4 linked regions of the Oryza sativa Japonica Group genome follow. The main gene of each other region encodes a partner of the protein of the gene in region 3 in a complex. Links are inferred from orthologs where the notes say so. Each region holds a gene or a part of one and is shown on either strand. Other genes may lie near its edges. The genes, in order: photosynthetic NDH subunit of subcomplex B 5, chloroplastic; ndhK; NAD(P)H-quinone oxidoreductase subunit N, chloroplastic; NAD(P)H-quinone oxidoreductase subunit S, chloroplastic.

Region 1 (8,300 bases), about 2.5 Mb from region 3:
CTTCGAAGACATGTTCTGTTTTTAGTATGATCCGATTGCTATCACGAAGCTGTCTCGTGAGAATCTTGCCCCTTCTTAATCTGAAGGAAAGAAGGGATCTTGCGTTGGTTGATTGATTCACTGTTTACGTGTAAAAATGGAATGTGGTTAGAGAAATCATCTGAATCGTTGGCATTGCAATTCAGTCTTAGGCTTTACCTAATGCCCACAATAATAGTGCAGTATTAGTAATGTGGCGTTGAGCATATCATGCCAAGTGTTCCAGCTTTCTTAGTTTCTACATTTTGAAGCAAAATTAGTCTTTCTGGATATATGAGGAGACTGTGCTACTACTTACTGAAATTTAAAAACTGTTTACCTGTTTCTTGAAGAACAACAATCTGACAGAGAAGAATTCTTGAAGCTCTGCAAGAGGATTGAGTACACCATTAGGGCCTGGTATCATCTCCAGTTTGATGATATGATGGTGAGAGCTTGCATTCGTTACTGAAGTCCTGTTCTCCATACATTTTCTTTTATGGACTTGATGGAGCTTATGACCATCATTAAGATCTGCTGATTTCTGGCAGTGTTTCACAATGTGATCTGATCTGTCAGAACTGCTATAATTTCCACAGGAACTATTTGCTCTTTTTGACCCTGTTCATGGTGCCCAAAAACTGCAACAGCAGAATTTCTCGACTGAGGAAGTCGATACACTCGAGCAGAACTTCCTGACCTATTTCTTTCAGGTAAACAAACTGTTTGGGAGATGGAACTATTATATGTCTCAACTACACATGAATGATCAGGATATTTCTTAATAAGTATTACAAGGGACCCAGATATATCCACAATATTACACAATAAATTGTATGAAATCTTGGTGCAGGTGATGCAAAAAAGCAATTTCAACATATTATCAGATGATGAGGTTGAGCTTGCTCATTCTGGACAATATCTGCTGAATCTTCCCATCAAAGTTGATGAAGCAAAGGTTAACATCCTCTCCCTCCAGGCTGTGTCCTAATCTAAAAATCATTGGATTTGACAATATTATTGTAAAATTTGTTTTTTACTGGTGCAGTTAGATAACAAACTTTTGTCAAAGTATTTTAAAGAGCACCATCACGACAACCTACCGGAGTTCTCAGATAAGGTGAGTAGCTAACATTATGTTCTGTCTTTTACATCTCTTCAGTGTTATCTATCAGAATATTTGTTTATAGAAGATGAGAAAGATGGTTTTGAAGTGGTGTAATTGATGGTTAGCCAGTGTATTCCTTTTTTTCATGTGTTGTTAGTGTAGCAGAACTGGATGCTTGCCCTCCTAATGACCGTGTGCTGTGGCCAAGTCATCCTCAAATATTGTTCCTGAACCATATGCACACCTAATATAATCTTTTATATGCCAGTATGTCATATTCCGGAGGGGCATTGGACTGGATCGCACTAGCAACTTTTTCTTTATGGAGAAAGTGGACATGATCATAGCTCGTGCGTGGCGATGGTTCTTGGAGAAAACAAGGTGCGCTATCCACTACATATGTATTTTCATGTCCATTTTATCTTGATCGTCCAAAAGATTAACTATTTTCACAATGAAATTTTAGACTGCAAAAGCTCTTCTCAAGAAAGAAAAGTGTTAGGCCAAAGACAGATTCCAAGAAGAATGATGATCTAGTTGGTGAAGAAGAGGACAAGGAGCTATATGTTGAACGCATACGACTTGAAACAATGAATTTGAGGTTTGTGCTATTCTTGACCTTTTAGGCCATCACAGTTCCTGAAAACTTGCTATTGCTTGTCTTCTCCACTCATATTTGATATTTCCTTCCTTGTTCTGTAGCTTGCGCAACTTAATTGGCAAGGTTACAATTCAAGAGCCTACATTTGAAGAGGTGATTGTCTTGTACAGGTAAGTCCCGTAAATTATTTGCATCTGAGGATGCAGGAAACCTTTTTCGGGTGCGCCCTGGTTGTGAATTGGCTGCTTTCATGATGTCTTGAACTACTGTGTTATAACTGATTTCTGACTGTTCTTTCAGGAGGAAAAGCCCTAAGGGCCAGAATGATAGATCAATTCATGTAAAGCACTTCAAAAATATTCCAATGGCAGATATGGAGCTGGTTTTGGTAAGTGTAGAAGCTTAATATGCCAAAGAATAATGTGGTGACATCCATATTGCTTTCTTCAATTGGACTTATGCTGAAGAGAAATTATGACTGTTGCAGCCTGAGAAGAAAAATCCAAGCCTCACACCAATGGACTGGGTTCAGTTTATTGTTTCTGTTGTCATTGGACTTGTAAGTGGACTGGAACTGGTTGCACTTGATTGGGTTGTGATTCATCACCTGATGATTATTTTTTTCACATTGCTCAGGTTACACTTGTCAGTTCGCTCGAAATGCCTAAAGCTGATTTCTGGGTTGTAGTTGCCGTCCTTTCTGCCCTGGCTGGATATTGTGCCAAGATCTATTTATCGTGAGTGCCTTGGTTGATATATTTGTTTTGATTGGGTATTCGTCTTGTCATCTTGTCGGTAATCTGCATTGTGTATATAATAGAGCAGGGACAGGGAGGATTTTTGTTTACTCATCCAGCCAGAATTACTTTAGAATACCTCCATAAAATGCAGTTTTGCTTCCCTGATTCCTTCAGCATTTTCTTATTTATGATGATACTTTATTTGCTGTATTGGTTGTATTGGACAAATTTGGTAAATAAGCTACCTTTGATTCAGGTTTCAACAGAACATGGCAACATATCAAAACCTAATAACTCAATCAATGTATGACAAACAGCTAGATAGTGGGAAAGGCACACTTCTCCATCTCTGTGATGATGTGATTCAGCAGGAAGTAGGTCTCCATATTGTAGTACTTGATTCAGAATAAGCATATCAGAGACTTGTGCTCACAATTATTTTCATCTTTGTGGTTTCTGAATTCTGATGTCCAGGTCAAGGAGATTATAATTTCCTACTATATTTTGATGGAAAATGGAAAGGCGACTATTGAGGTATTGCTTTGGTATTTGAAACAAGCATGTTTTGTTTCTGAAGTTGTGCAAGTATAAAAATTGAGTTGAATATTCTTGGCACTCAATGCTAGGATCTTGACTTACAATGTGAAGAGTTAATCCAAGAAGAGTTTGGCTTGCAATGCAATTTTGAGGTGATGGATGCTGTTCAGAAGTTAGAGAGGCTTGGCATCATTACAAGAGTGAGTTCTTACAGCTTGTTACAGCAGTACCAAATCATAGTGAGATATATATCCCCAAAAAAAACTTAGATAAATTTCAGAATGTATAGAATCTAAAAGAATTTTTAAATGAAATACCATTATGTTGTTACTCGCATTTTCTCTATTTTAATCATGGATAATAAAGCCAGTGATGCTTGCAGGATTCTATTGGAAGAATATGCTGTCTATCTCTGAAGCGTGCCAATGAGATCATTGGCGCTACTACAGAAGAGCTGGTTATGAAGGCCAGACAAAGCTAGTTATCCAATTCTATTTGAACCAGGTAATCCTTTGGTGGACTCTAGGCTTCCATCATTAGATTGTTTCTGGTTTTTTGGATGGGACATTATATTGTTTCTGGAATACTCCAAGAAGTCCTGACACTGATTTCTTTGCAGTTTAGGGGGGCAATAGGTCCTGGACGGCTGCGGAATAATTCTCCGATGGAAGTTGAGCAGATATGCTATTGTTGTTCTGTTGTAGGACCTGCTGTATTATGCAATGTTTAATGCATGTTGTAAGAAATTTAGTTTCTTCTTGGAACAAAATGTGGAAAGATTTCAGTAAAAAAAAATGTGGAAAGAGGTTCATGAACTGCTGCCTTGTTTGTTCAGTTAATGAATACTCCTACAAGAAATGCAGCAGCCTGCTAACTCAAGGCACAAGAGCCAAGTATGACGCATAAAAAGCATACTGAAGCAGTGAAAAAGCGCTGCTGATGGTGCACTGTATCTCAGCCACTGAATCAGTGACGTCCGACACAGTGACACTGGGTTGCTGGTTCTTTTTCTGCTCTTTTCATTTACAAATCATGTCCTCATGTTGCAGTTGTCTTTTCCTTGTCTCTCCTGATGTGTAAAACACAAGGCTCTGTGCTTGCTGTTGCTAACAATTCAGATTCATCAGAATGCAATAATGTAGTACTAACAAATACTAGTTCTATTCATTCACAAGATTATCATGCATATCTGACCTGATTACTGACTGACTAATGAGGTGATGCAGATTTCTTTCCAGGCATGAAGAAAAAGAAAGAAAAGAGGAAAAAAGCAGCGAAAAATCCTGGACGGTACATGCCCCATACCCATTATCCTCTTGTTTTTGTCTCCTTGCAGCAAAGTATAAGTGCAGCAGCAGCTACCAGCTAAGCAAGAAGCGAGCAGCAGAGCTCAGCGTTTGGAGCGAGATGATGAGCAGCAGCAGCAGCTTGGTGTCCGCCATTTCTGCGTCACCGTCTGCCACTGCAAAAGCTCGCCTTCGTCATGACGATGCAGCAACAGCAACAGGAGCAGCAGCAGCAGCAGCAGTAGCAGCGAGGCAGCTAAAGACGGAGCATGGCGGCTGCTGCTGCTGCCGGAGCAGAGGCCGGGCGGTGGTGGCGAGGGCGGGGCCCGGGCCACTGACGGAGATCGAGCCCGACCTGAACGAGGACCCCATTGATAAGTGGCGCACCAACGGCGTCAGCCCGGTCTGTCCTCCTCGCCGTCGCCGGCCACCGTGTTGAGAATTTCATTATTTTTCTCTATTCCAAGCAGTTTCCATGGTTTCTTTGATTCTTTCTTCAGTGATTGCTGCTGCTGTGCTGTGTTGTCTGAAGAAATGGTTTTGACACTGAAAAGAATCTGCTTTGCAGGACGACTTCGAGTATGGAGTGTATGATGGTCACCACACATATAATGAAACCCAAGGTTCTTTTTCTGGGCTATCTTATCCAGTTATCCATTCCTTGAATCAAAATGCGTAATCATGCTCATGTGTGCTAATTTCTGATTCTTATGTGATATGATGTGGAAAAAAAAATCATTTGACACTGAAGATAAGAAGGGCTTTTGGGAGGATGTCTCTGAGTGGTACCAAGAAGCTGAACCTCCTCAGGGCTTCCAAGGTAGTAACAGCCAAATTCCTTTCTCACTTGGATAAATCAGAGAAAAATCAGATTCTTTCAGATAAATCAGAGAAAAAAAATCAGATCTTTCTTCTCTTAAGACAAGCTTGCTCAATTTGCACTGATGGGCCATCTCTTGCAGCACTGATCTCCTGGTTGTTTCCTCCTGCAATCATCCTTGGCATGGCCTTCAATGTTCCGGTAACATATTGAGCAGTAGTTCCAGCCTACTGACATGTATCACATTTCACAATCTGTCTTGGCTCTTGAGCTCTCTGAATATGTGTCTACTTCTGCCACTAGGGGGAGTACCTCTACATCGGCGCAGCAGTGTTCGTCGTCGTGTTCTGCGTTATCGAGATGGACAAACCGGACAAGCCACACAACTTTGAGCCGGAGATCTACATGATGGAGAGATCGGCTCGCGACAAGCTCATCGCCGACTACAACACCATGGACATCTGGGACTTCAACGAGAAGTACGGCGAGCTCTGGGACTTCACCGTCGACAGAAGAGATGAGATTGTGAAATCGTCTTAGATATGGTATTCAGAAATGGGGGGTCACATTTGTTAGATGCAGCTGCAGAAACAGTTCAGAAAATCAGAACCACTCCAAAGAAAAGCAGGGTGGCAAAGCTGCAAGATGAGTCTCTTCAAAATAAAGAACTTTGAGATGAAATGATGTGTGTATGGATCATCTCATCTACTGTAAGGCCTGCTTTCTATGTCTCTGACAGTCTCAACTCTGAAGTTCTCAGCCAGGTACAAAAGGAGACTGAAAATTCTGTCATGTGTATTTTGTTTTCCCCCCAATGTAATGGAGAAAATCCTGTGAATGACATCACTAATTCAATAGATATATATAGTAGTATAATGGAATAACTTTGGCATCAGCCTCCAATATTATCAATATGTAAAAGAAAAGGAAATATCATTCTTTTCTTGTACAGGAAAAGGAATAAAGGGAACCTCACAGCTGTTCCTTTTTTGTACACTTGAGTTACAGCTGAATCACTATGAAGACCAAAGAAAAGAGAGAGAGAAATAATAAATGGAAAGGGAATTGCTAGTCTATAACTCTGATGATGAGAGGAAACTAGCTAGTTCTTCTTCAACCTGATGTTGTGAAGAGCTGACTACCTAGAGTCACAGTTGGTGTGCTTTCTGGCATGATTGTGGTCATCCTCATCTCTTGCTCGCGAATTCGGTTTATCTCCGCCTCCACCAAGTTCATCGATGGGCGATGCTCGCTCGTCGGGTTCACGCACCACGATGTCAACCGCAGAAATTCTCTCATGCCTTCTGAGGTATAGGCACTGGCCATTCTGTTATCTGCAATTGCAGAGATATCACTTGATTGTTGGAAGTTCTGCACCTGCGTATCAGCAAAACTGCAAATTTAGTACGGATTTTACAACGGTCGACAGATTATTACAAGAACAGGGAAAGCCTCTAACAAATGAGGAATTGGGTGTGTCAGCTGCAAACTTTGGAAGTGTTGGAATTTACCCATCGAATGATGTTTTGATCAGACAGAGCCCTCTTGCCACTGAGCAACTCCACAAGGAAAACACCAAAACTGTATACATCACTTTGAATGGAAAAATTTATGGATTCCCTCATTCTGTCATGAAAAAAAGAAGTTTCACTCTACTCAATCACCAGTTGCTGATAAAAAATTGGTACTTTTGCAAGAACCACATACAAAGCACTAAAGCAGATAGTTCTGTACTATCCACTGAACATAATTTCTAAGAAAAACTTATGACTTACCTGGGATCAAGGAAAGGATCGTAAGATGTTCTCGATGAAGGGCCTACACCGCCTAATCGATCTAGCAGGGCACGGATGCCGGCATCTGCAACTTTGGGTATGAGATCTTCATCCACAAGGACGTTGGCCGTTTTGAAGTTCATATGGACCGTGGGAGGTGTCAGAGAATGCAGGTGATTTAGGCCTGAATAAAAGGAAGATCATTATGCTGCTGCAAAAATGAGCAGCTAATACTATCTTTCATCATGGATGGATGTTAATTTCTTGATTATGATTTTCGCCAGGATAAGAAAGTTTAGAGCTGGTGTACATGAAGAGACTGACCTTTAGCAGCTCCATGAGCAATGGAAAGTCTCTGCTTGAATTCTAGCTTTACACCTGGAGCATGGCTGCTACCTGTGGGACACCAAAAAAAAAATGATATTAGCACCTATGATGCTCTTGTTGAACACGGTAACAGTGTTAGGAAAACACAATGAAAAATCACCATGTAAATGCGTAGAAACGCTGCCATTGGGAACATACTCGTAAACAAGCATCTGCATTCCATTCTCCTGGCAGTACCCCAAAAGGTTTACAAGGTTACGATGACGGATCGACGATAGATAATTAACCTTCAGACAAAAGGACAATTCATGAGTAAATGGTTACTGTCTTGCAAGTTCTTTTTTCTAAAATATTTTGAATTATGTGGAGAAAAAATGGTTTGACTTTTTTTAGTGGAAAAGGAAAGCAGTTTTATTTCTTTCCTCTTGCATGCTTACACCACTATATCAATTTAGAACCAATGGCTACTTTAGAGAATCTGTGGATAAGGAGAAAATTTTGGCACCTCATGAATAAATTCATGGCTAGGAGGAGAATGTCGCTTTTTAATGGCTACAATTGTGCCATCCTGGAGTAAACCCTTGTAAACCTCTCCAAACATTCCATGTCCAATAAGATTCACATTGCTGAAGTTCCTTGTAGCTGAACTTAGCTCCTCCAGAGTCATACATCTTGCTCCCTGCAGCTCTGGTATATATATAGAATGCTGTTTGTCAAGTTAGAAACAGAATCATTGAAATTCAGAGCCTCTTGAGATGATATTTTAAGCGGTACCTGGTTGAGCTGGACTGGATGAACTACTTTCCGAAGAGTCTGAAGCTCTTCTGCGGTGCCGGAGGAAAAGTACTATAAGAAATATGGCGGCGCCTACTAATGCCAAGAATCCTGCAGCACCTGCTAGAGATGCTGCAAGAATTGCTGACATCTAGTATGAAATCCCCTTCTTCAGAATGGACTGTCAATGTTTGTAGTGATAGTGATGAAGTTTGTAATGGTAGACATATAACCTAAAGAGAAGTACATTCTTTGAGATCATAAGAACAATAATTCAGACATTGCTGAACCAAAAGTGCAACCTTACACAATAA
Region 2 (6,635 bases), on a different chromosome or scaffold from region 3:
TATTGCTCTTAGATAGATCATAATACAAATAATCAATCAGAGCGCAGGGAGCCATCTCATTATCTTTCCGTAAAGAAAAACTATGGTGGACTAACTGATCTTTCTATCAGTTGATAAAAGAGCCCAATGCAAAAAAAATGCATGTTGGGTCTTTGAAACAGTTCGAATCATTTCGATAATAATCCGTTTGATCTGTTTTACCGAGAAGGTCTACGGTTCGAATCCGTATAGCCCTAATATGTCCTTTTTTAGATTTTAGGAGAGATATCCTACGTTTCCTTTAGTATAGTTTTCATTTCCCTATTAGTACTTGTTTATAGACTGGACAGGCGCCTGCGCCATAAAATAGAGATAAAAGGATTACCAGAGGCTCATTCATCGAAAATTATAGAGACAGGAAAAGAAAAATGAATTTCTATCAAATCAACTGCAAGATGTTCTCCATCTTGCAAATTCCTACTTTGTTTGAAGTATATTACTTTGCTTATCTATATCTATAGATTACCTAAATCTAAATCAATCTACGTTCTGAAATAGAGTTCTTTATTTTTATAGAATTACTCCTCATTAGGCTGCATACATTAGTCATCCTATCTTAATTAGGCTCTAATTCGTAGTATTTTCGTTTTTATTCCTTTTTCTAGAGATTCTAGAGAAAATGAGACAAAGTGAAGCGAGAGAGTTTTGTTTCTATAAGAATTATGTCTCCACCATACCTAAATAGAAAGGAAATCAAAAAGAAAGGGGGTCGGGATTCCATTGGATGAATCTTTAAAGAAGACGTGGCAAAGAGGAAACAAAGGCTAAACTAAGCCTTTGGTTTGAGAAAAACCGATCCTTGTTTCACCGAGGAAAAGAGAGAAATTCTGTATAAATTGACAATGCTGACTTGAATTGACTAATTCAGTTCCGCCTATTCCACATTAATGGGAGTACATTTATGTTTCTGCTTCACGAATATGATATTTTTTGGGCATTTCTAATAATAGCAAGCCTTATTCCTATTTTAGCATTTTGGATTTCAGCACTTTTAGCTCCGGTTCGTGAAGGACCAGAGAAGCTTTCTAGTTATGAATCGGGTATAGAACCCATGGGGGGGGCTTGGTTACAATTCCGAATACGCTATTACATGTTTGCGCTAGTTTTTGTTGTTTTTGATGTGGAAACGGTCTTTCTCTACCCTTGGGCAATGAGTTTCGACGTATTGGGTATATCCGTTTTTATCGAAGCTTTCATTTTCGTGCTTATCCTAGTTGTTGGTTTAGTTTATGCATGGCGAAAAGGAGCCTTGGAATGGTCTTAACTGAATATTCAGACAAAAAAAAAAAAGAAGGAAAAGATTCCATTAAGACAGTTATGAGTTTGATTGAGTTTCCCCTACTTGACCAAAGAAGTTCCAATTCCGTTATTTCAACTACACTAAAAGATCTTTCGAATTGGTCAAGACTCTCTAGTTTATGGCCCCTTCTATATGGTACCAGTTGTTGTTTCATTGAATTTGCTTCATTAATAGGCTCACGATTCGACTTTGATCGTTATGGATTGGTACCAAGATCAAGTCCTAGGCAAGCGGACCTAATTTTAACAGCCGGTACAGTAACAATGAAAATGGCTCCCTCTTTAGTGAGATTATATGAGCAAATGCCTGAACCAAAATACGTCATTGCTATGGGAGCTTGTACTATTACTGGTGGAATGTTCAGTACGGATTCCTATAGTACTGTTCGGGGAGTTGATAAGTTAATTCCTGTGGACGTCTACTTGCCGGGTTGCCCACCTAAACCAGAGGCTGTTATAGATGCCCTAACAAAACTTCGTAAGAAGATATCGCGAGAAATAGTTGAGGATCGAACTCTATCTCAAAAGAAAAATCGATGTTTTACTACCAGCCACAAGCTTTATGTTCGGCGCAGTACTAATACTGGAACTTATGAGCAAGAATTGCTCTATCAATCACCATCTACTTTAGACATATCTTCTGAAACTTTTTTCAAATCCAAAAGTCCAGTATCTTCCTACAAATTAGTGAATTAGGAGGAGCTCTTTGTGCCGAAAAAGAAAGAGCAGGGCAATATTTCAAACTTGCATTCGAACTGCGAAATATTTATACAAAGGAGGAGAGATCAAGATAATGCAGCAGGGTTGGTTATCTAATTGGCTAGTCAAACATGAGGTGGTTCATAGATCTTTGGGCTTCGATCATCGAGGAATAGAGACTTTGCAAATAAAAGCAGAGGATTGGGATTCCATTGCTGTCATTTTATATGTATATGGTTACAATTATTTACGTTCCCAATGTGCTTATGACGTTGCACCCGGTGGATCTTTAGCTAGCGTGTATCATCTTACGAGAATACAGTATGGTATAGATAACCCAGAAGAAGTATGCATAAAAGTCTTTGCCCAAAAGGATAATCCTAGAATCCCATCTGTCTTCTGGATTTGGAGAAGTTCCGATTTTCAAGAACGCGAATCTTTTGATATGGTGGGAATCTCTTATGATAATCATCCACGCCTTAAACGTATCCTAATGCCTGAAAGTTGGATAGGCTGGCCCTTACGTAAGGACTATATAACCCCCAATTTCTATGAAATACAAGATGCTCATTGAATGATAAGAAATTCATGCTCACTTATACAACACAACTCCAGATTTTATGCAAGTCAAGGAATATTTTTACGCTCTGTTCCTAGATGAAACAGAATACCTATTACATTCTAATTAATTCCAATTATACAAAAGGTTCAGATAGACTAAGCAAAAAAGGGCTTCATTTCGTTGGAAAATCACATATTCATTTCCTTCGTATGAACAGAAAAATATGATGACTCAAAGAAGTTCCCTACCACGAACTTTGTACCGCGTGCATTACTTAGAACAACTAGTAAAGTAAGATAAGATAAGCAAGAATAAAAAAATATTTGTCGGAATAGCGGAATAGAAAATTAAGAAATGCAAAAATGCAGAAAAAGAAGTGCCTCTATTTAGAGATTTATCTACTTAGATGAAAAAATCATACTCTATCTATATTATTAACGAATATGTATCCCAACCCATCTCGAGGTATTTGTATCAATACCTATTCGGAAGATCCCTTTTTTCTGTGCCAGGAACCAGATTTGAACTGGTGACACGAGGATTTTCAGTCCTCTGCTCTACCAACTGAGCTATCCTGACCTTTTCTTGTGCATCATCCTAGTAGAGTATTTGTATCTATGTCAATATCCAAAATTTGGAAATGGGGAGGGGGCAGTCCTATGCATTGTACAAAGAAAGCCTATTTAATAATATTTAAATATCGAGTTAATAATCGACATTCCTTGCCGATACTATAATAAAAAAGAAATGTATTCCATTGAATCTTAAACCTATTAATAAAAAAACAGGATAAATACTAGAGTTAGGAATAAAAGAGGGTTTGGGGATAGAGGGACTTGAACCCTCACGACTTAGAAAGTCGACGGATTTTGCTTTTACTAGAAATTTCATTGTTGTCAGTATTGACATGTAGAATGGGACTCTCTCTTTATCCTCGTCCGATTAATCCGCTTTTAAAAAGATTTCGAAAACTATGAATTGAAGGATTTGATTACTCAATATTCGATTGGAATGGATTCACAACAATTCTAAAAAAATTATGAATTTTCTATTTCATAATCATTCCTATTTTCATTTTAAAAAAGAATTAAAGAACCTATATTATGATATGAGTTCTGTGATTAATCGTTTGCTATGCCAGTATCTATACGTGGTATTAGATTTCGAAAGCCCTTCTTTCCCTAATTTAGAAGGGAGTTCCGCTAGCAACACAACGTAATTAACTCGATTCGTTAGAACAGCTTCCATTGAGTCTCTGCACCTATCCTTTTCCTTTGGGTTCTAGTTCGAGAACCGCTTGTTTTCTCAAAACATGGATTTGGCTCAGGATTGCCCCTTTTTTAATTCCAGGGTTTCTCTGAATTTGGAAGTTGCCACTTAGCAGGTTTCCATACCAAGGCTCAATACAATCAAGTCCGTAGCGTCTACCGATTTCGCCATATCCCCATTTTCTTTTTCTTTGAGACCAGGATTCCTTGTGCAATTTCCTCCATCTGTTAGTTTTTTTTGAATCGTTGAATTCATTACTCTATGTAGTCTAGCGGTTCGTCTCTAGTTGAGAGACTCCGCTTATTGCAATTCAGCATTGAATTGATTCTATCGTTGATGTATTTGCAATTCAATGCGAATCAATATATCCCAAGGTTTTTCTCTCCCCCACCTACCGCGTTCCTTTTTTAGAGTATTCAAAATCATACTATAACGCTTGATATTCATTCTTTTTTTTTGCTAATCAGAATTAGCAATTTCATTTGCTATGATTCTATGTTCTCCTTAGTGAAATATTAATCATTAAATTATTAGCAAATAACAAAAAAAAACAAAATAATCTCAAAAAATGTCTATAATGATGGACTGAAAATACAAGAAATTCGCATGTTCTCTTTATTATGTTTTCGTATATAATATATATTATTTATTCTTTTCCATGTATTAGATTATTCGTCCGAGCCATATCAAATTAAAAATATCTAAAATCAAATTCAATATAGAAATTGGAATAGATTCTATTAGAAAAATAGATTTGCGAATTAGAGAAAAAAGAAAGTTCAAAAAAATCTATCTAACTTTATTTTATGAAGTTCTAGTATTTTTTTCTAAGTAGAACTTCCAATTTCGAACTAGTTAATAGCTAAGATTAATAATTAAGATCTGACATTTTACGGATTTCCTATACTATACATATTTCTATTTGTTACACTATTTCTGTTATGTAAGCCCACTTAGCTCAGAGGTTAGAGCATCGCATTTGTAATGCGAGGGTCATCGGTTCAAATCCGATAGTCGGCTTTTTTCTCTATCAATGTTCCATGAACAAAAATACCTCTTTTTCTCCGAATTAAATGGAGAAGCCAGGATCTATTATGTCGGTCTACCCTACAATTTTGCTAGATACAAAACAATAAAATAAATAATATATATACAAAAATTCAGATGTTGATGAAATTCCATTTTTTTGTGGTACTTTTAGTAGATTTTACTCTGTTTATCCTTTACTTTAATTCAGTTTTAATTTCGATGTATTCTGTAATGTAAATACAATGAAATTAATTGTGTAAAATGAAATTTCAATAAAAAAAGGAGTCTTCATGTCCCGTTATCGAGGACCTCGTTTTAAAAAAATACGCCGTCTGGGAGCTTTACCAGGACTCACTAGAAAAACACCTAAATCCGGAAGTAATCTGAAAAAGAAATTCCATTCTGGGAAAAAAGAACAATATCGTATTCGTCTTCAAGAAAAACAGAAATTGCGTTTTCATTATGGTCTGACAGAACGACAATTACTTAGATATGTACATATCGCTGGAAAAGCAAAAAGTTCAACAGGTCAGGTTTTACTACAATTACTTGAAATGCGTTTGGATAATATCCTTTTTCGATTAGGTATGGCTTCAACCATTCCCGAGGCCCGGCAATTAGTTAACCATAGACATATTTTAGTTAATGGTCGTATAGTCGATATACCAAGTTTTCGTTGCAAACCCCGAGATATTATTACTACGAAGGATAACCAAAGATCAAAACGTCTGGTTCAAAATTCTATTGCTTCATCCGACCCGGGGAAATTGCCAAAGCATTTGACGATTGACACATTGCAATATAAAGGACTAGTAAAAAAAATCCTGGATAGGAAGTGGGTCGGTCTCAAAATAAATGAGTTGTTAGTTGTAGAATATTACTCTCGTCAAACTTGAACTTAAGGAAAAACGGAAAGGTTCATAGAATTTTTCTTCCCTTCCCCTTTCCCCGAACTAAATCGACCTAAGGCTCTTAATTCGTATTTTCCCATTCACCTAACAGAAATGGATTAACCCTAGGATTCCTTTTTGTTTTTTGTTCTTTCCTCTATGTGTATTTTACATACCATAGTAATTTGGTATAGAGAATTTCTATTAAATAAAGGTATTGTATTATTGCTGGAATAAATTGTCATTTGATTTGATACATTGTAATCATTAACGTTGCTGAATTAAGAAAAACGGAAAGAGAGGGATTCGAACCCTCGGTAAACAAAAGTCTACATAGCAGTTCCAATGCTACGCCTTGAACCGCTCGGCCATCTCTCCTCCATAATCTTATTATGGAAAAAAAACTGAGTGAATAGCGAGTTTTCCTATTCCTGCAGTACAGGTACAACCACAACCGCGCGAGAGTTCCATTGTTCTATTAGATAGAAAAATTCCTTTTCATCTAAGTGGACGGGTCCAGGATTTTTTTACTAGGAATTCCGCTCCCTCGAAAAGTTTTAGTTTGGGTTTTCCCCAAACCAAAGAAAAAGAGAATGGAAGAATTCTTCTTATTCGATAAAAAAGGAACCCTAGAATTCTGTTTGCATAAGGTATCCTACCCCATACAATCAAATAGAAAATAGGGTATGGGACGATTAATGACTTTTGAAAATGCGAAATAGTTGATGAGAGAAGTTGTTGTTGAGAAAAGAAATAGGAAAGTGGAATGAAATCCAATCTTAGTCAAATATTTTCTATCTCTTCTTGTTCAAACAGAAGGAAAAAGAGAGAATTTGGGCTGAGCAGAA
Region 3 (7,045 bases):
ACTCACCGTTCCTTTTTTTTTTTCAAGTGATTGAATCCACCAAGATGAAAGAATCTTCCTCTCCTCTTCCTTCCACCATAGGTAAAAGAAAGAAAAGAGAGAAGAAAGCACCATGGATACTGCAACAAGGAAGAATCTCGGAGGCTCCATGGCACGTAAAAAGCTGAGAGATCCCAAGCAAGCACACTTTGAGACGGGATCTCGCTTTTTCTAGTGAGTTGGATTCTACCATTCTGCCATTGCCAAGTCGACACTCTTCAGTGGGTTCGTGCTGGCTCTCTGCTCTTCATGGAGCCTGGACCTCTGCAGTCGCCATCAATGGAGAGTGGGGGAAGAAGATTCTGCGGCTGGTACTAAAATGTTTATCGCCTTTTCCTTTTCTCTTTGGTGGTGCCCAGTTAGCAAATGTTTCTGTCACGTGGTTGTATTTAAAGTCTAAAACCTTCATCTCGCACTGAACTCTGGAGGTTAGGGAGTGATTAGGCAGGCATCTTTTAGGTGCTCTTTTGTTTAGGAAAAGAAAAACACTCGAGTATGTGCTAGGACGAGAAATTTGCGTACCAGGTTTCTTTTGTGCAACTGTAGGCCACTGATACGAGATGGTTAACCAAGGCCAGAGAATGTGCGTATCACACGCATGCCCAAAAAGTTAACCGTAATTAACGAAGCTACTAATCCTCAGGTACATCCCCACGGACGACACGGGAGGCGACCTCGCCGTCGCCTGTCTCCCCTTCCTTCCTCCTCCGCCTCGCCACCACCCGAGCGGTCACCGATAAAGCCGCACGGCCGCAAGGATGGCGGCAGCAGGACTTCGTTTTTTCCTCGTCGTGCTCAAGGAGTGGGGGGCTGGGGGCGGCGGAAACCGCGCTGATCCGTGCCGCCCGGCTAGAGATGGCAATGGTGAATTCACCGTCGGGGGTCATGCCCGCGTCCCCGTCACCGCAGTGAAAATATTTCACCGTCCCCGCCTCCATCAACCACGACGGGGCTATAATTTCTCCAGCCCCGTTCACCACGCGGTGAATTTTTCCTTGTGGTGAACCCGTCCCCGGTTAAACAACATATTCAGTCACATTATATCAAATATATCCAAAATGCTCCACTCAACAAATCAGCAAATTACAGAAGGAGGAGGCTGCTCCTGGTGAAGAAGGAGGCTGCCGGCGGCGACGGCGGCTCCCGGCAACGGAGGTTGCCGGCGGCTCCCGGTGAAGACGGCTGCAGGCGCCGCGCCGGCCCGGCGGCGCGTTGACGAAGGCAGCTGGCAACGGTGGCTTCAGTCCATGGCGACGGCAGCTTCAGTCTCCCGGCGAGAGAAGGCAGCGAGTGGAGGCGCGCGTGGTGGCTGGCAAACGGCGCCGGTGGTGGCTGGCGAATGGCGGCGCGCGTGACTCGGGTCGGGTGGTGTTTGGCCGCTGGTGTGGTGTGGATCTGGATGGGTGGGAGTTTGACCTGTTGACTTAGGGTTAGATCATATATATGCCTGTCAAATGGGCTTCAATATTATGGGCCAATACATCTAAAAAGTCTAGAATTCCTCCCTTGTACAGTACAGTCGGGTCACAGTGGAGGGCGGGGACGGGGAATGGTTCACCGTCCCCGCCCCCGTCATCCCCGATGGTGAGAGGTTTTTAACCATTTCATTCCCCATGGTGAGTGGATATTAACCATCCCCTGTCACCTAATAGGTGAATTCACCGCGGGGAAATGGTGAACGGGCCCCCATTGCCATCTCTACGCCCGGCTGGATCTGGCGGTGGGGCAGAGTGGTCGGGCGCAACGATTGGAGGTGTTGGCGGCGGCGGAGGAGGAGACCGCTAGATCCGTGCCTGGATCTAGCGGCGGCGGGCGAGGACCGGCGCCACTACGGCCGGATCCGGACGGCGACGATTGTGGGCGACGGTGACGGCGGTGGAGGTGCGGGAGGCTGCGTGAAATCCTAGCCCGGTCTTGGCCAGACCAGCAACGATGATGTTCGAGCGTCATTCCCCTCCTAAGGCCGTTGTTATGCCATCTCACCCTCAAGTGTAGTTGTCGGGCGAAAGCCTAGTCTTGGTTCGATTTGAGATCTTGATAGACTGTGGCGGCGATGTTTCATCACTTCTCTCCGTTTTCGTGGTAGAAACTAGAAACATCGTCTAGGCATCACCTTGTTGAAACCCTCAAGCTTTTGGTGCAAGCTCACTCTAGATTCTCATCCTCTTGTGACAGCGTTCTAGTTTCTGCAAGTTGGCCATGTCGAAGGGACTAAGGGAAGAGGAATTTCATTCTTCTCTCTCACCCTCTCCCTAAATCCCGAAGACTTGGATAGAGTGGTTTTGCGTTGGTTGTAAGGGTCGGGTTTGGGCAAAATCTCGGCTGTGTTTCGTTGTTGGCCTAGTGGTGGTCGGTCACGCTTAGCGGCGGCTGGCCCGGTGATAGCCTTATCTTGATTTTGTGTTGGTGCTATCGGTGTGTGGGTGGTGATGTACTTTTTTTCATTTTTCTTGGTTACAATATTACAACATTGTAATCTTGTATTTTTTTTCCTACTCTATCAATGGAACTTACGGGTTACGGCTTTCTGGTGTTGGGGTTCGTATTTGGGCCTGATCTAGCGTGGTTACATGCTTGGGCCACGTCTCGGACCATCCGCTTGGGTGGACTCCGCGGAGATCACCGCTCAGTTGAACAAACTGGGCGCACGACACCGTCTCCGAGTCTTATCCGCTCAACGCGGTCAGTACGCGCGCGGCTGTTATCTTCCCGCCACAGGCTCAAACAAACGACACCCACCCACCCACACACACTACACTACAGCAACCAGCGATGTGGTCGGCGGCGGCGGCGCGCACGGTGACCCCGCTGCCGGCGGCGTCGCCCCTGCAGCAGCATCAGCAGCGGCGCGGGGCGTGGGCGCGGGTGGGCAATGGTCGGGCGGCGAGCACGACGGCGGCGCGGGCAGGGCTGTGGGACTTCGTGGGAGGGGACCTGGTGAAGCCGGACATGGGGCGGTGGCTGGACGACGTGGAGAAGCACAAGTCGCTGGCCATCTACCCGCCGCACGAGGGCGGCTACGAGGGCCGCTACCTCAGCCGCCTCAGCTACCAGGGCTACTACTTCCTCGACCTCTCCGCCCGCGGCCTCGGCGACCCCGAGACCACCCTCACCAAGATCCACCCCGTCTGCCCGGTCAGTCCACAAAACAATCCTCTCTCTCGATCTCGATCTCGAGCTAGCTAGTAGCTAGCTGCCTCCGATCATGGCTGACACGAGCTTGCTTGCTTGATTGCTCTGATGTGCGCAGCCGAGCCTCGGGAGGCAGCCGGTGGCGAGGTGGTACTTCCCGCCGGAGGTGGACTACAGGCTCAGCTTGCTGCACCCGGACGCCAAGGGCCTCGTCGTCTGGGTCATGGAAGCCAAGGTCTCCATCCATTGATCCATCGATCTCACCATCCTGTTCTCTAGCTCAGCTCTGCAATTTCCCGTTTCGTTTCTGCGTCCCGTTAATTTGTTTGGTGGTTTCTATTTCTGCAGGTTCTCTCCAAGGCCGAGCTGCAGTTCCTCGCCATTCTCCCTGACATCCGCCCCAAAGTCAGGGTGATCGCGGAATGCGGCAACTGGTACGTAAACCTGAACCCCGAAATTAATGATGACGATGTGTTCTTGTGATCTCTGAATTAAATTCTGTGCCCTGTTTGGCCCAGGAGGAAATTTGTGTGGAAGCCGCTGAAGCAAATCGCGGGCCTTGAGCCGGACCCTGACGCAGAGGAATGAACAAGATCAAGACCATTAACAGGCAGCCTGAAACAAAGTTACTTGATATATATCTCATCCAACACACATTGTTTCCCGCTTTGTACTTCACTTGAGAGAGGCAATGAAGAATGTACATACATTTTGGCTCAAATTACCCCAAGACAACCATGTAAAATCAAACTTTCACATAATACAAATCCATCAGAAGACCATGCGATCCTTTCGTCTCATCAGCGGCGTAGGTAGACAAGGTCGGTGCTGAGCAGGAACGGGTACCCGATTCCCCTCCTCTTGGACGGGAAGAGCACGAAGAGGAGGCTGACCACGAAGCCGATCACGAGGGGCACCGTGTTCACCACCTTCCTGGGCACGCCGGGGTAGTAGCACAGCACGATGTCGTGGTGCGACGCGGCGAACGTGACGAAGGCGACGAGGGCCAGGGCGGTGTGGAAGAGGTCCGACCACCGCAGCCTGTACCTCTCCGGCTCCCTCGGCCCCGCCTTCCCGCCGCCCCGCCGGCGACGCCGGCCGCCGACGCAGAACGTGCGGATGCCGCTCGTCGTGGCGATGCCGTACCGGAGGCGGCCGGTGGGGGAGCGGAAGCTGTCGGTGAGCGTGAAGAAGACGCAGGAGGCAGCGCAGAGGAGCATGAGGGCGCCGGTGAGGGCGCGGTTGAGGCGGGTGCACTTGCCGTCGTCGGTGAGGAGGGGCGCGAAGATGGCGAAGGCGAGGATGGTGGCGGTGGGGAGGAGGACGTTGAGCCGCGCCGTGCCGCTCAGGATGAGGTTGGTCAGCAGGATGAGGCTCGAGCTATCGTCGTCGTCTTCGTCTTCGCAGTCGTCGTCTTGGTGTGGATCACCAGCTTCGTTGCTGGCTTGATCGATGAGCACCTTGCATTCTTCTTTCTCAGCCATTGGTAGGGGCTGTATGAGTGTATGCACGAGCTTGTTGGGGGACTTGGGATGATGAGAGAAGGTTAGTTAAAAGAGTGAGCTGAAACAACTAAATAAACAAGAAACTGAAAAGAATCCACCTTTCGGTACTCATGAACTTAGGCAAGGAAGAAAGGATTGCTTCAGCAAGAGTACCGAGCCAACCGAACCTTTGCCCCCACATAGAAGCTAAGAACATCACAGCAACAGATAATGAAAATAGATCCAGCAGCCTGAATGAAGGGGAGGTAAAAAAAAAAGGTTCTTGACGGAAATCAGCAATGGTATCTTCTTGGAGTTGCTCTTCCTACTTCTAATTGTTCATTTCAAAGAATACAACAGTTCCAAAGAACGGCATATGCATCTATCAGACCATCACCCGGGATTTACATCCAAAAAACCTTTTTGATTCTAACCCATTCTGGGTATCTTGAGATGTATAAGGGGTATCTATCCCCAATCTGTACCGATGTCTCAAAAATTACAGGGGAGCCGAGCTTTTACCTTATAAGACCTAAAGTACATCTACAATTTGTATGGAATGAAAGAATGGCTGGGATTGCTTGCAGTTCGCTGGTCAAAATCATTCTGCTGCTCTTGGTGACCTAAGAGGGAGGCCTTCAGCAGCAGACCTGAGGGGGATGCCTTCAGCCGCATAGCCATCTTCATCATGTTTCGGTATTCGGATAGGTAGAGTTGGTGGGAGTCCTACGAGGCCAGAGTGAGAATTCACAAACATATTTTTTGCAAATTAAAGAAAGAGTATGAAATCATACCATCGACCATATCTTTCGTCTTGTGAAGAAGAAACGTCCCAGAAAGGATGGTAACAAAACCACACATCTCTGTCACAATTTGAGTTGGATTTTGACGATCCCAGTCCTGCATGCAAGTATATTAGTTATCCACAACACAACTTGAGCTTGTTCACTAAGCACAGCAGGTTTCCACCGCTACATGTATAACTGATAGGACAGTGGACAGCAGTGATAGTTTATATTTAAGTTTTGCAGACTGCAAGAAGTATTTTATATTTTAGTTTATATTTAAGTTAGATGGGACAGGCTGCAAGGCATAATATTGACCACAACCACAAGGCTCAAAATTATATAAAGATTCTATGTCCATGTAGCGTAACAATTCAGCCAACAGCCAAATCAACTGACTAGCAACAAAGTTAAGGCCCTGTTTAGATCCCACCCCAAAATTTTTCACCCTGTCACATCGAACGTTTGAACACCTGCATGAAGTATTAAATATAGGCTAAAAAAAATTAATTGCACAGATTGCGACTAATTTGCGAGACAAATCTTTTAAACCTAATTGCTCCATGATTTGACAATGTGGTGCTACAGTAAACATTTGCTAATGACGGATTAATTAGGCTTAATAAATTCATCTTGCGGTTTACTGACGGATTCTGTAATTAGTTTTTTTATTAGTGTCCGAAAACCCCATGCGACACCCTATATAATACCTAGCGTGACACACCAAAACTTTACACCCCTGGATCTAAACACTCCTTAATCAAGTTGAACAGGTCAAGCATTGATAGCAGGATTGCCTAGGGAACTTCAAAACAATAGCTTTGTCATGGATCATACAGTTGGTTCAATGTCTACAGCTTCAAATAATAATCAAATTTATCAGGTAATGGCCAGTAAGTCAGTGACTGCCCTCAAAAACAAAATATTTGGGGATGATATGAGTTGGACTAATCTTGATAGAAGAGAAGGATTGTAAGTGTTAACTTTGATGCCTAACTTTCCATGCAATCTTAGTCACACCACACATTATAAGGAGTTTAGTCCACTGCCACAGTTGTGGCTTCCAGACTCTAAGCCATAGCTGTCTCAACCCATCATCACAAAGTTGGGCATAAACCAAACATGCATTACTGGCACTGAGTACAGCTGTCAGCAAGCTGAGCTCGAGCAAGCTTAGGTCCCAGGCTCAAGCTCCACATAAACTAGAGCTGAGCTCAATCTGAGCCTAGACTAACCTTCAAGCTTGTAATTAGTCTAAGTTTCGACTCGGATGAAGCTCAAGCCTGCTTGAGCTCGGCTACACAAAGCTCGGAATCTCACCAGGACCGCGGTGGTGATGATGCCTGGAGATGTATTATCCAGCAGACCAGCAGGGGAGTACCCTGCTGCCCTGGTCACACTAGCAGCTCACAGAAGGAGAAATAGAGAGAAGGAGCAAGGAGAGTAGACAGGCGGCTGCCACCGGTATGAATAAGATGATGTGTGGCATACTGGCATGCAACTAGGATGCATTGCAGATAGCTAGCATTACTGCACTAGCCTTGGGCTTGACATTGAGGAATTGAAAACTTCAATGTAGAGCAGGTAAAGCATGAGAGATTGACA
Region 4 (7,124 bases), on a different chromosome or scaffold from region 3:
CATCAGCAAATAATACTTACATAATCAGTTCAGACCACCCTCCAAGCTCAATAGATCTCCAGTATAAATGCCAACGGATCTGAAATCTGGCACCACCAATATATCAGTGTATGTGTCATCCTTTAGATCATAACTTTGTAGAACATTAGTTCCCCGCAGTAGGAAGACAATCTTCTCATCGTCTAACAGCAGCAAAGGATAAGCATTGTTATTATAGTATTCGAAATCTATGCTGTACTTCTTAACCCAGAGTCCTTGCTCAAGATCTGACAGAAACCACAGGTCCATGGGGGAACCGTATACAGCATGCACCATCACTAAGGACCCATTCAAGTCGGCTAGCGAGAGGGGCTCCATAATTTCCAAGGTTGAGGAGATAACAATCATATCCCGTCCCCTGGCGACTGGTTTCGGTCCGTTTAGAATACCCATCCATTCCTCCGTCTCAAGGTCAAATGGAACTATGTTACCTGGTCGAATAAGCAAGCCATCATTTGAGCAATAGAGCCTCGAATAATCTAACAGGAAATACGCAACCCCATTGATGACCACACTTCTCATATTGTTACTTGAACAAACAGGCAACTGAGGTCCTTGTATCGCCCTCCATTGCAAAGCGCCAGCACTGTTCACGGTCATGATCTCGCACTCGTATAGCTCACATGGATTACCAGAACCAAGGAGACGGACCACCTTGTACTCTCCTGTAGAGGGGACCTTCCCAAAAGCACAGGATTCCATTATGAGACGGCCTGAACTCAGCAAATCCTTATTATCCGCAGAGATACTCTTTGCCGGGATGTAGGTAGCACCGGTGACCGGATCCAGCACGGTGACATCCAAGGGGCTAGGCCCTTCAACGAGGCAGACGAGGTCGAGGCGCGTGCGCTGCACTCTGGATCCACTGACTTCGGTGTAAATAGTCTTGACGATGTCGCCGGAGGACAGGTCGACGATGTCGACGCCGCCGCAGGACTCGTCGCCGTCGCCGCCGTCGGCTTCATCGGAGAAGCACGCGGCGACGTACGGGCCCGGGTGGCGGGAGGCGTGCGCGTCGACGAAGGCCCGGTCGGAGGCCACGGCGCGCCACGACCGGCAGACGGCGCGGAGGCGGCAGACGTCCCTCGCCGGCAGCCGCAGCATGATCTCGAACAGCGCGTCGAGGGGCAGCCCCGCGCACCGGCCCGCCGCCCGACGACCACGCCGCCCCCTCCTCCTGCTCGTCCCGGGCGGCGCCATCGCCCACCCCGGATGCCCCCCGATCTACGTAAAACCACCAAATCGTGAGAAATCCTCCTCTTATAGAACGCGGTGATTACGACACGGCGGATCCGGACGGCGGCGCGAGAGAAGGGAAAGGGAGCGTACCGTGGGGGAACTCCGGCGAGGTGAGGTGAGGCGGGCGCGGCGGCGAGGTCGCAGGCGGCGGCGAGAGGGAGTGGATGAGGAGTGGAGTGGAGTGGAGAGGCGGCGGCGGGTAGAAGTAGCGGCCGCGGCGCCGCTCTCGCTGTCTGGATGGGCCTTCAAATGGCGTCATGTCCAATCCAGCCCAAGCCCAACCTATCCGTGCGTTCCGTTGGGGCCCGGCCCATGGGCAGCCGAGAGTACGGCCCATCTGGAGGTTTCGTTTGGGTAGGGCCCATGGAAACCCACAAAGGAGAACGGTCCATTTGATTAGTGTGTTTGGGGCTGGCCCATGAAAGACCATAAAGCAGAGGAGCTCGAGGAACACTGAAATTTTTACAATTTAGCTTTTCTTTTAGACTATTTTCATAAATAGATCTTAAAAAACTATTTTCAGAAATGAATCCTTTTCTGGAGCCCTTTTTAGAGGCTGGCCCCTAGGTTAAATGGCTCGGCGCCAATAAGACTAATGTCGATCTCTCTTCCCATGAGGCTGTTCACAGTGCGCCTTGATGTCGAGTGGATTCGCCGCTCCATCTAAGCCGTATGATGCCGTGGAGAAGAGAAGGTGTGGGCCCTCGGACCTTGGCATAGATACTCGGTGCTTTGCATGGACACGAGTGCTTCCTCTGAAAAAAAGCTAAAAAAAGCAGGTGGGAAGATGGAACCTATATGAAAAAGCAGCTAGGAAGAGAGTTGGAATCTGGCGGGAAGCAGCGTTGTGAGGATGGCCTAGCTTGTGGTGCTGGAATCTTTAAAGAAGCCTCATCCGATATGACATACTAGATTCCTCTTAGGCTGTGTTTGGCACTGCCTATTCCCATCCTCTCCTCCTCGTTTTCCGCGCGCACACTTTCCAAATTGCTAATCGGTATTTTTTAAAAAATATTTTCTATAGGAAAGCTTCTTTAAAAAATCATACTAACCTATTTTTAATTTTTTTAGCTAATACTTAATTAATCACGCACTAATCCATCGCTCTGTTTTCTGTGCGAGAGGTGAGGGAACACAGCCTTAGTAGTACCTTTCACTGTAAGAGCAAGTATAATAAAAGGCCGTTAGAAGGTTGAATGCTAACGTGGATGAGAGAGGAGAGAGAGAGGGAAAGCGAGTGGTATGCTTAAAACTAGCTTAGGCATAGGAACCAAGAAAATATGTGAGAGAAACATGGGAACCATATAGTTTATAGTTAAGAGCTAACTACTACATGAGTTGGCTGAGAGGTAGACTGTGAAGATCTTATACCACATTTGACGTGATTTGGGCTCGTCGTCTACTCCCTCCGTCCCAAAATAACTCAATATAGGATAGGATGTTACATATTCTAAGACAACGAATCTAGATTGAGTTATTTTGTGATTCTCTCCATCCCAAAGAAACCAACCTAAGAGGGGATTTGACCCCTCCCAGTACAACGAATCTGGACACTACATCTCCTCTTAGGTTGGGTTTTTTTTTACGGAGGAAGTATTTCTTACGGATAGTAACTTTAGGGGCCTATTTATGAAAAAAAATAAAAAGGGGCTTAAATGTAAAATTTTCAGTCGAAAAACACGAGGTCCTCATCCGAAATTCCTAATTGGCGACTGGTCGCGTGCCCCCTCACCCCGCGCGGATGGACGCGTGGCGCGCGTAGGAGGGGGAGGGGGCGCGGCGGCCGCGCACAGTGGGAGGCCCGCGTTCTTTTTTTTTCGCCGGTTTTTATGGTTGTTTTCTTCGGTTCTTTGTTTTTTTAAAAAAAAAACATCACATATATAAAGTTTGTATATACAGTATACAAAGTTTATATACATACGTATATAAAGTTTATATATATGCGTATAGTGTATATATAAAATTTATATACGTGATGGTTTTCCTCTATTTTTTTTTATTTTTTAAAATGAACATATATAAAGTTTGTATATATATCATAAACTTTGTTATACGTTATATATAAACTTTTGTATATGCGTATATATTTACATATAAAATATATTTTTTAAATAGTACTAGTAGTATATAATAACAGTAGTAGTGGTGTAGTGGTCCTAGTTACCAGTACTAGTAGTACTAGTACTAGTTCTAGTTAGCTGTGTTTATTCTAGAGTAAAGTTTAGATTTTGGTTGAAATTGAAGATGATGTGACTGAAAAGTTATGTGTGTATGATAGATTGATGTGATAGAAAAGGACTGAAGTTTAGATCCAAACTTTGGATCTAAACACAGCCTTAGTAGTAGTAGTTAGTAGTACTCCAGTTACTACTACTTCCTCCGTTTTACAATGTAAGTCATTCTAGTATTTTTCATATTCATATTGATGTTAACGTGTAATAAATGCTAGAATAATTTATATTATGAAACGGAGGGAGTAGTAGTTTAAAGTAGTACAGTGGTAGTAGTACTAGTAGTACTTTAAGTATATACTGTACTCCGTATAGCAGTACCAGTCGCCCATTAGCCACCCCCGGTCCTCATCCACCTAGGCTTTAAAGGCTTCGTCACTTCCACACATCCTCTGCTCCGCTCTGCTCCACCAATGGCGCCCACCACCCCCGCCTCCTTCCTCCGCCCGCCGCCGCTGCCCCACCACCACCACCCCCGCATCGTCCGCCTGCCCCCTCCCTCGGCGACCTTCCGCGTCGCTGACCTCCTCGGCGGCCGGGGTCTCTGCAACGGCGAGGTCGGCATCCGCAAGGAGCTCGCCTCCGACTCCCCCGCCGCGCCGCCATCCACCACCACTTCTTCCGACGAGCCCGCGGAGTCGCCACCGCCGCCGCCGGCTGCGTCCGGGGTGGACCCGGACGCGTTCGACAAGGAGATGATGGGCCTCACCGGCGGATTCCCCGGCGGCGAGGTCGGCCTCAAGGACTTCGTCGCCAAGAACCCGCCTCCCCCCAAGCCGGCGCACAGGAAAGGTCTCGCCGCCGCCGCCACGGTGGAGCGGCCGAGGGCGCCGGAGCTGCCGCTGTTCCTCCCCGGGATGGTGGTGCTCGTCAAGAACCCCAACAACGCCTACCACATGTACTGCGGCATCGTGCAGCGCGTCACCGACGGCAAGGTCGGGGTGCTGTTCGAGGGGGGGATCTGGGACAGGCTCATCACCTTCGATCTCGACGAGCTCGAGGGGAGGGAGAAGGGCCCGCCCATGGTGAACCCTAAGTCCGTGCTGCTCGAGTCCCTCGCCGCGGAGATGGAGGACGATGTGGCCAAGGAGGAGGAGGGAGAGGAGGCCAAGAAGAAGAAGGAGGAGGAAGGCACCGCCGCCGCGGCTTGACCACCATTGCTGCTTCTGCTTCTTCTTGTATGTATACAGCTATCTATATTTTCTTAGATGATGGAAGTGAAAGGGGTATATATATATATATTATCTATTCGATGAGTAATTTCGAAGTGAGTAAATGTGTTGTTGTTAATTGCTATATGTACAGTTGGAATCTTAGTGTGAATTGGCACTATGAAACAAACGATTCGGAGATAAAAGTTTAGCTTCTTTGTTGAATTGCTATATGTTTGATCAATTTGATCACGTTTGGTCCGGATTGCTAGTGAAATGCCTACAAGGGCACCAGTTGCCATAGTTCATTATGTTGGTAGGATTAATTTTTTTTTTTACAAACTTGAATTATCATCTCTTGCTTCTTGAAGCGAAGAGGCTATGACAGTCAGGTAACCAGGCTTTCATGATTGTAAATTGTACAGAGTATGAATGTTCAAGTGTTCGTTATTCCTGACATGACTTCAAAATCCCGCAGTATTTCGCACAGCAACTATCTATGCATTGTAGTTTACGTTTGCCTGATAGCTGGTTTCCCATGATTTTTGTTTATTTGAAAGAGTATATGAAAAGATAGGGCCTTTACTTCTATATAACCTGCCTTACTCAGGAATAAGTGTAGCAGCAGATTTAAAAGGATGGTAAAGGAAGACAGTGAAGTAACAATAATGATATAGTGTTTTGCAAACAGAGTACAATTTGTATTGATTACCACCATCTATATCTATATCTATACTAATATAAAAAGGAGTTGTACCCCTCCAATCCTACGAGCCAAATCACTCGGATTAATCCCTACCGTCCATCCGCGCGCACGAATTCACCACCGCACGATTCCACGCCCAAACTTCACTCCTCCTCCTCCACACGCGAAGACTTCGCTCCTCCTCCACGCACGGACTTCGCTTCTCCTCCTCGCTCGCTCCTCCTCCTCCCCGCATGTAGCGCCGCCGCATCCTCGCCGTCGCCGGAGCTCCTCCCCGCGCGTACTGCTGCCGCATCCTCACCGGAGCCGCTGCCCACGCCGACATCTTCTGCTGCCGCCGCCAAATCCGGCTTCTTCCCTACCGTCGCGGCCAGATCCGACCTCAGCCCCATCCGCCGCCGCCGAGGTCGGCCCCTCCCGTCCCTGCCGCCGGAGTACATCCATGTTTCCCTTCTCGCTGTCGTCCACAGGCTCCGCCAATGCAATGATTGGCCTCTACCTTCCCTCGACCACCGTCTTCTGGACAAAAAAGCAGAAGTACCAACAGGTAAGGTGAAAATGCCCAAAATCATCTTCTATTTTGCAATCTGGCTACTCTTTTGCATGTATTCTTCTGCCATATGGGCTGGAAGGGGTGAATATGAAACTTTCAGATTAATTAATGTGTTGCAGTTTGCCGAATAAACAAATCAACAGTTCTTTATATTATATTGGTATTAGAATGTGGTTAAGAAACTTGTTTTCTACTGGATTCATGTTTTTTCTCTAACGATTTGTTTACTACACGCTTGCAGACAATTATCTGAACCACAAGGGGATATCACACCAACTCACTCTCTCGGCTTGTTTCTGGTATTTATCATACCCAACCTGTTCTCCAAACATAATATTTGTACCGCAACTCACATATTAGAATTACTGTACCATTGTTTCAATAGATGGGAACACTTCAATCAAAAGTTGTGTTGTCTCACTTTCGTTATAAAATAAAATAAAATCCAGTGCTCTTCAACCATGTTGGCAACATAGCCGAGTGTGAATTGTTGGGGATGATTATTCTTTTTTGATTGTTTGGTGAGATTTGATAATTCTAATTATTCTATACAATTCTCTATTCTTGTGAATTACTGATATTTTTTTGAGTCTTTTAGAAGGATACCCTAGAGTTGATGCCGATAAATTGAGGTTTATTTGTTGGTAAAGGATATTTGTAGGCTATTTGATTCGTTCTATAAATTGCAGAGCACCTATGCAAAATACAAGTGTTGTAGGGCTAACCCTTACAATTTTGGATCATTTTGGTTGCTATACATGTCATCCTGAAGCAACACTTCTTTCCAAATACTACACATCACCATAGCAGCTTACCATGGTGATCTAATCATGGCAGTTAGGAGGGCAGTAAATGGTGATGTATGTTGACTAGATACTTTGGAAATTAAATGAAGGCATTGAGCTGGCAATTTGGGCAAAGTAGATGGGAAATGTTGAGCACTATTAGTATGCACATATAATTAGAACTTACAACATGCACTTTAGTTTACAACTCTCTAATGTTTTCTGCCAAGAAGTTCCATATCAAAATGCCTGCTAAAATATTTCTGGGTGTTTGCTTTCAGAAATATTGCTATATATAATAGAAATGTAAAATCAATCAGGGTTGTCAAATCAAGGCATAAGGCGTAATGTTAAGATTTAGTAAGGACTGCTAGCCCTGTTAACCAGTTCAGCATGCATGCCTGAATTCATTTTTCTTTC

What was found.
Region 1: NAD(P)H-quinone oxidoreductase subunit N, chloroplastic (region 3) and photosynthetic NDH subunit of subcomplex B 5, chloroplastic share a complex: the UniProt entries of both Arabidopsis thaliana proteins name them as parts of the chloroplast NDH complex. The link is inferred for Oryza sativa Japonica Group from reciprocal best matches to the Arabidopsis thaliana genes NdhN and PnsB5.
Region 2: the proteins of NAD(P)H-quinone oxidoreductase subunit N, chloroplastic (region 3) and ndhK are in contact, whole or in part, in a cryo-EM structure (PDB 7WFG), measured with the Arabidopsis thaliana proteins. The link is inferred for Oryza sativa Japonica Group from reciprocal best matches to the Arabidopsis thaliana genes NdhN and ndhK. Residues at the interface, in NP_200634.1 of Arabidopsis thaliana: Pro80, His81, Gly83, Gly84, Tyr85, Glu86, Gly87, Arg88, Leu90, Asn91, Arg92, Leu126, Lys128, Tyr142, Ala146, Pro148, Pro149; in NP_051063.1 of Arabidopsis thaliana: Ser3, Ile4, Lys5, Phe6, Pro7, Thr20, Asp24, Trp28, Thr117, Asp118, Thr151, Arg154, Lys155, Ala158, Arg159.
Region 4: NAD(P)H-quinone oxidoreductase subunit N, chloroplastic (region 3) and NAD(P)H-quinone oxidoreductase subunit S, chloroplastic share a complex: the UniProt entries of both Arabidopsis thaliana proteins name them as parts of the chloroplast NDH complex. The link is inferred for Oryza sativa Japonica Group from reciprocal best matches to the Arabidopsis thaliana genes NdhN and NdhS.

Annotation. Positions count from the first base shown.
Region 1 is NC_089035.1:41,424,803-41,433,102, forward strand, and holds photosynthetic NDH subunit of subcomplex B 5, chloroplastic, read left to right. Parts: upstream 1-3,633; 5' UTR 3,634-4,411; coding exon 4,412-4,693; intron 4,694-4,858; coding exon 4,859-4,913; intron 4,914-5,041; coding exon 5,042-5,110; intron 5,111-5,252; coding exon 5,253-5,311; intron 5,312-5,413; coding exon 5,414-5,650; 3' UTR 5,651-5,994; downstream 5,995-8,300. Other genes in the region: uncharacterized protein, read left to right, coding at 372-466, 618-731, 872-976, 1,067-1,138, 1,395-1,507, 1,593-1,727, 1,829-1,897, 2,028-2,115 and 6 more; serine/threonine-protein kinase-like protein ACR4, read right to left, coding at 6,224-6,487, 6,622-6,736, 6,886-7,069, 7,210-7,281, 7,373-7,499, 7,718-7,899, 7,987-8,137. UniProt on the Arabidopsis thaliana protein: NDH shuttles electrons from NAD(P)H:plastoquinone, via FMN and iron-sulfur (Fe-S) centers, to quinones in the photosynthetic chain and possibly in a chloroplast respiratory chain.
Region 2 is NC_001320.1:43,968-50,602, reverse strand, and holds ndhK (NADH dehydrogenase subunit K), read left to right. Parts: upstream 1-1,356; coding exon 1,357-2,034; downstream 2,035-6,635. Other genes in the region: ndhC (NADH dehydrogenase subunit 3), read left to right, coding at 941-1,303; ndhJ (NADH dehydrogenase subunit J), read left to right, coding at 2,132-2,611; rps4 (ribosomal protein S4), read left to right, coding at 5,188-5,793. UniProt on the Arabidopsis thaliana protein: NDH shuttles electrons from NAD(P)H:plastoquinone, via FMN and iron-sulfur (Fe-S) centers, to quinones in the photosynthetic chain and possibly in a chloroplast respiratory chain.
Region 3 is NC_089035.1:38,933,618-38,940,662, reverse strand, and holds NAD(P)H-quinone oxidoreductase subunit N, chloroplastic, read left to right. Parts: upstream 1-2,706; 5' UTR 2,707-2,811; coding exon 2,812-3,174; intron 3,175-3,289; coding exon 3,290-3,406; intron 3,407-3,519; coding exon 3,520-3,605; intron 3,606-3,689; coding exon 3,690-3,759; 3' UTR 3,760-3,953; downstream 3,954-7,045. Other genes in the region: protein DMP7, read right to left, coding at 3,972-4,655; probable magnesium transporter NIPA4, read right to left, coding at 5,257-5,381, 5,450-5,555. UniProt on the Arabidopsis thaliana protein: NDH shuttles electrons from NAD(P)H:plastoquinone, via FMN and iron-sulfur (Fe-S) centers, to quinones in the photosynthetic chain and possibly in a chloroplast respiratory chain.
Region 4 is NC_089041.1:5,275,081-5,282,204, reverse strand, and holds NAD(P)H-quinone oxidoreductase subunit S, chloroplastic, read left to right. Parts: upstream 1-3,831; 5' UTR 3,832-3,922; coding exon 3,923-4,660; 3' UTR 4,661-4,885; downstream 4,886-7,124. Other genes in the region: putative F-box protein At1g32420, read right to left, coding at 25-1,239. UniProt on the Arabidopsis thaliana protein: NDH shuttles electrons from NAD(P)H:plastoquinone, via FMN and iron-sulfur (Fe-S) centers, to quinones in the photosynthetic chain and possibly in a chloroplast respiratory chain.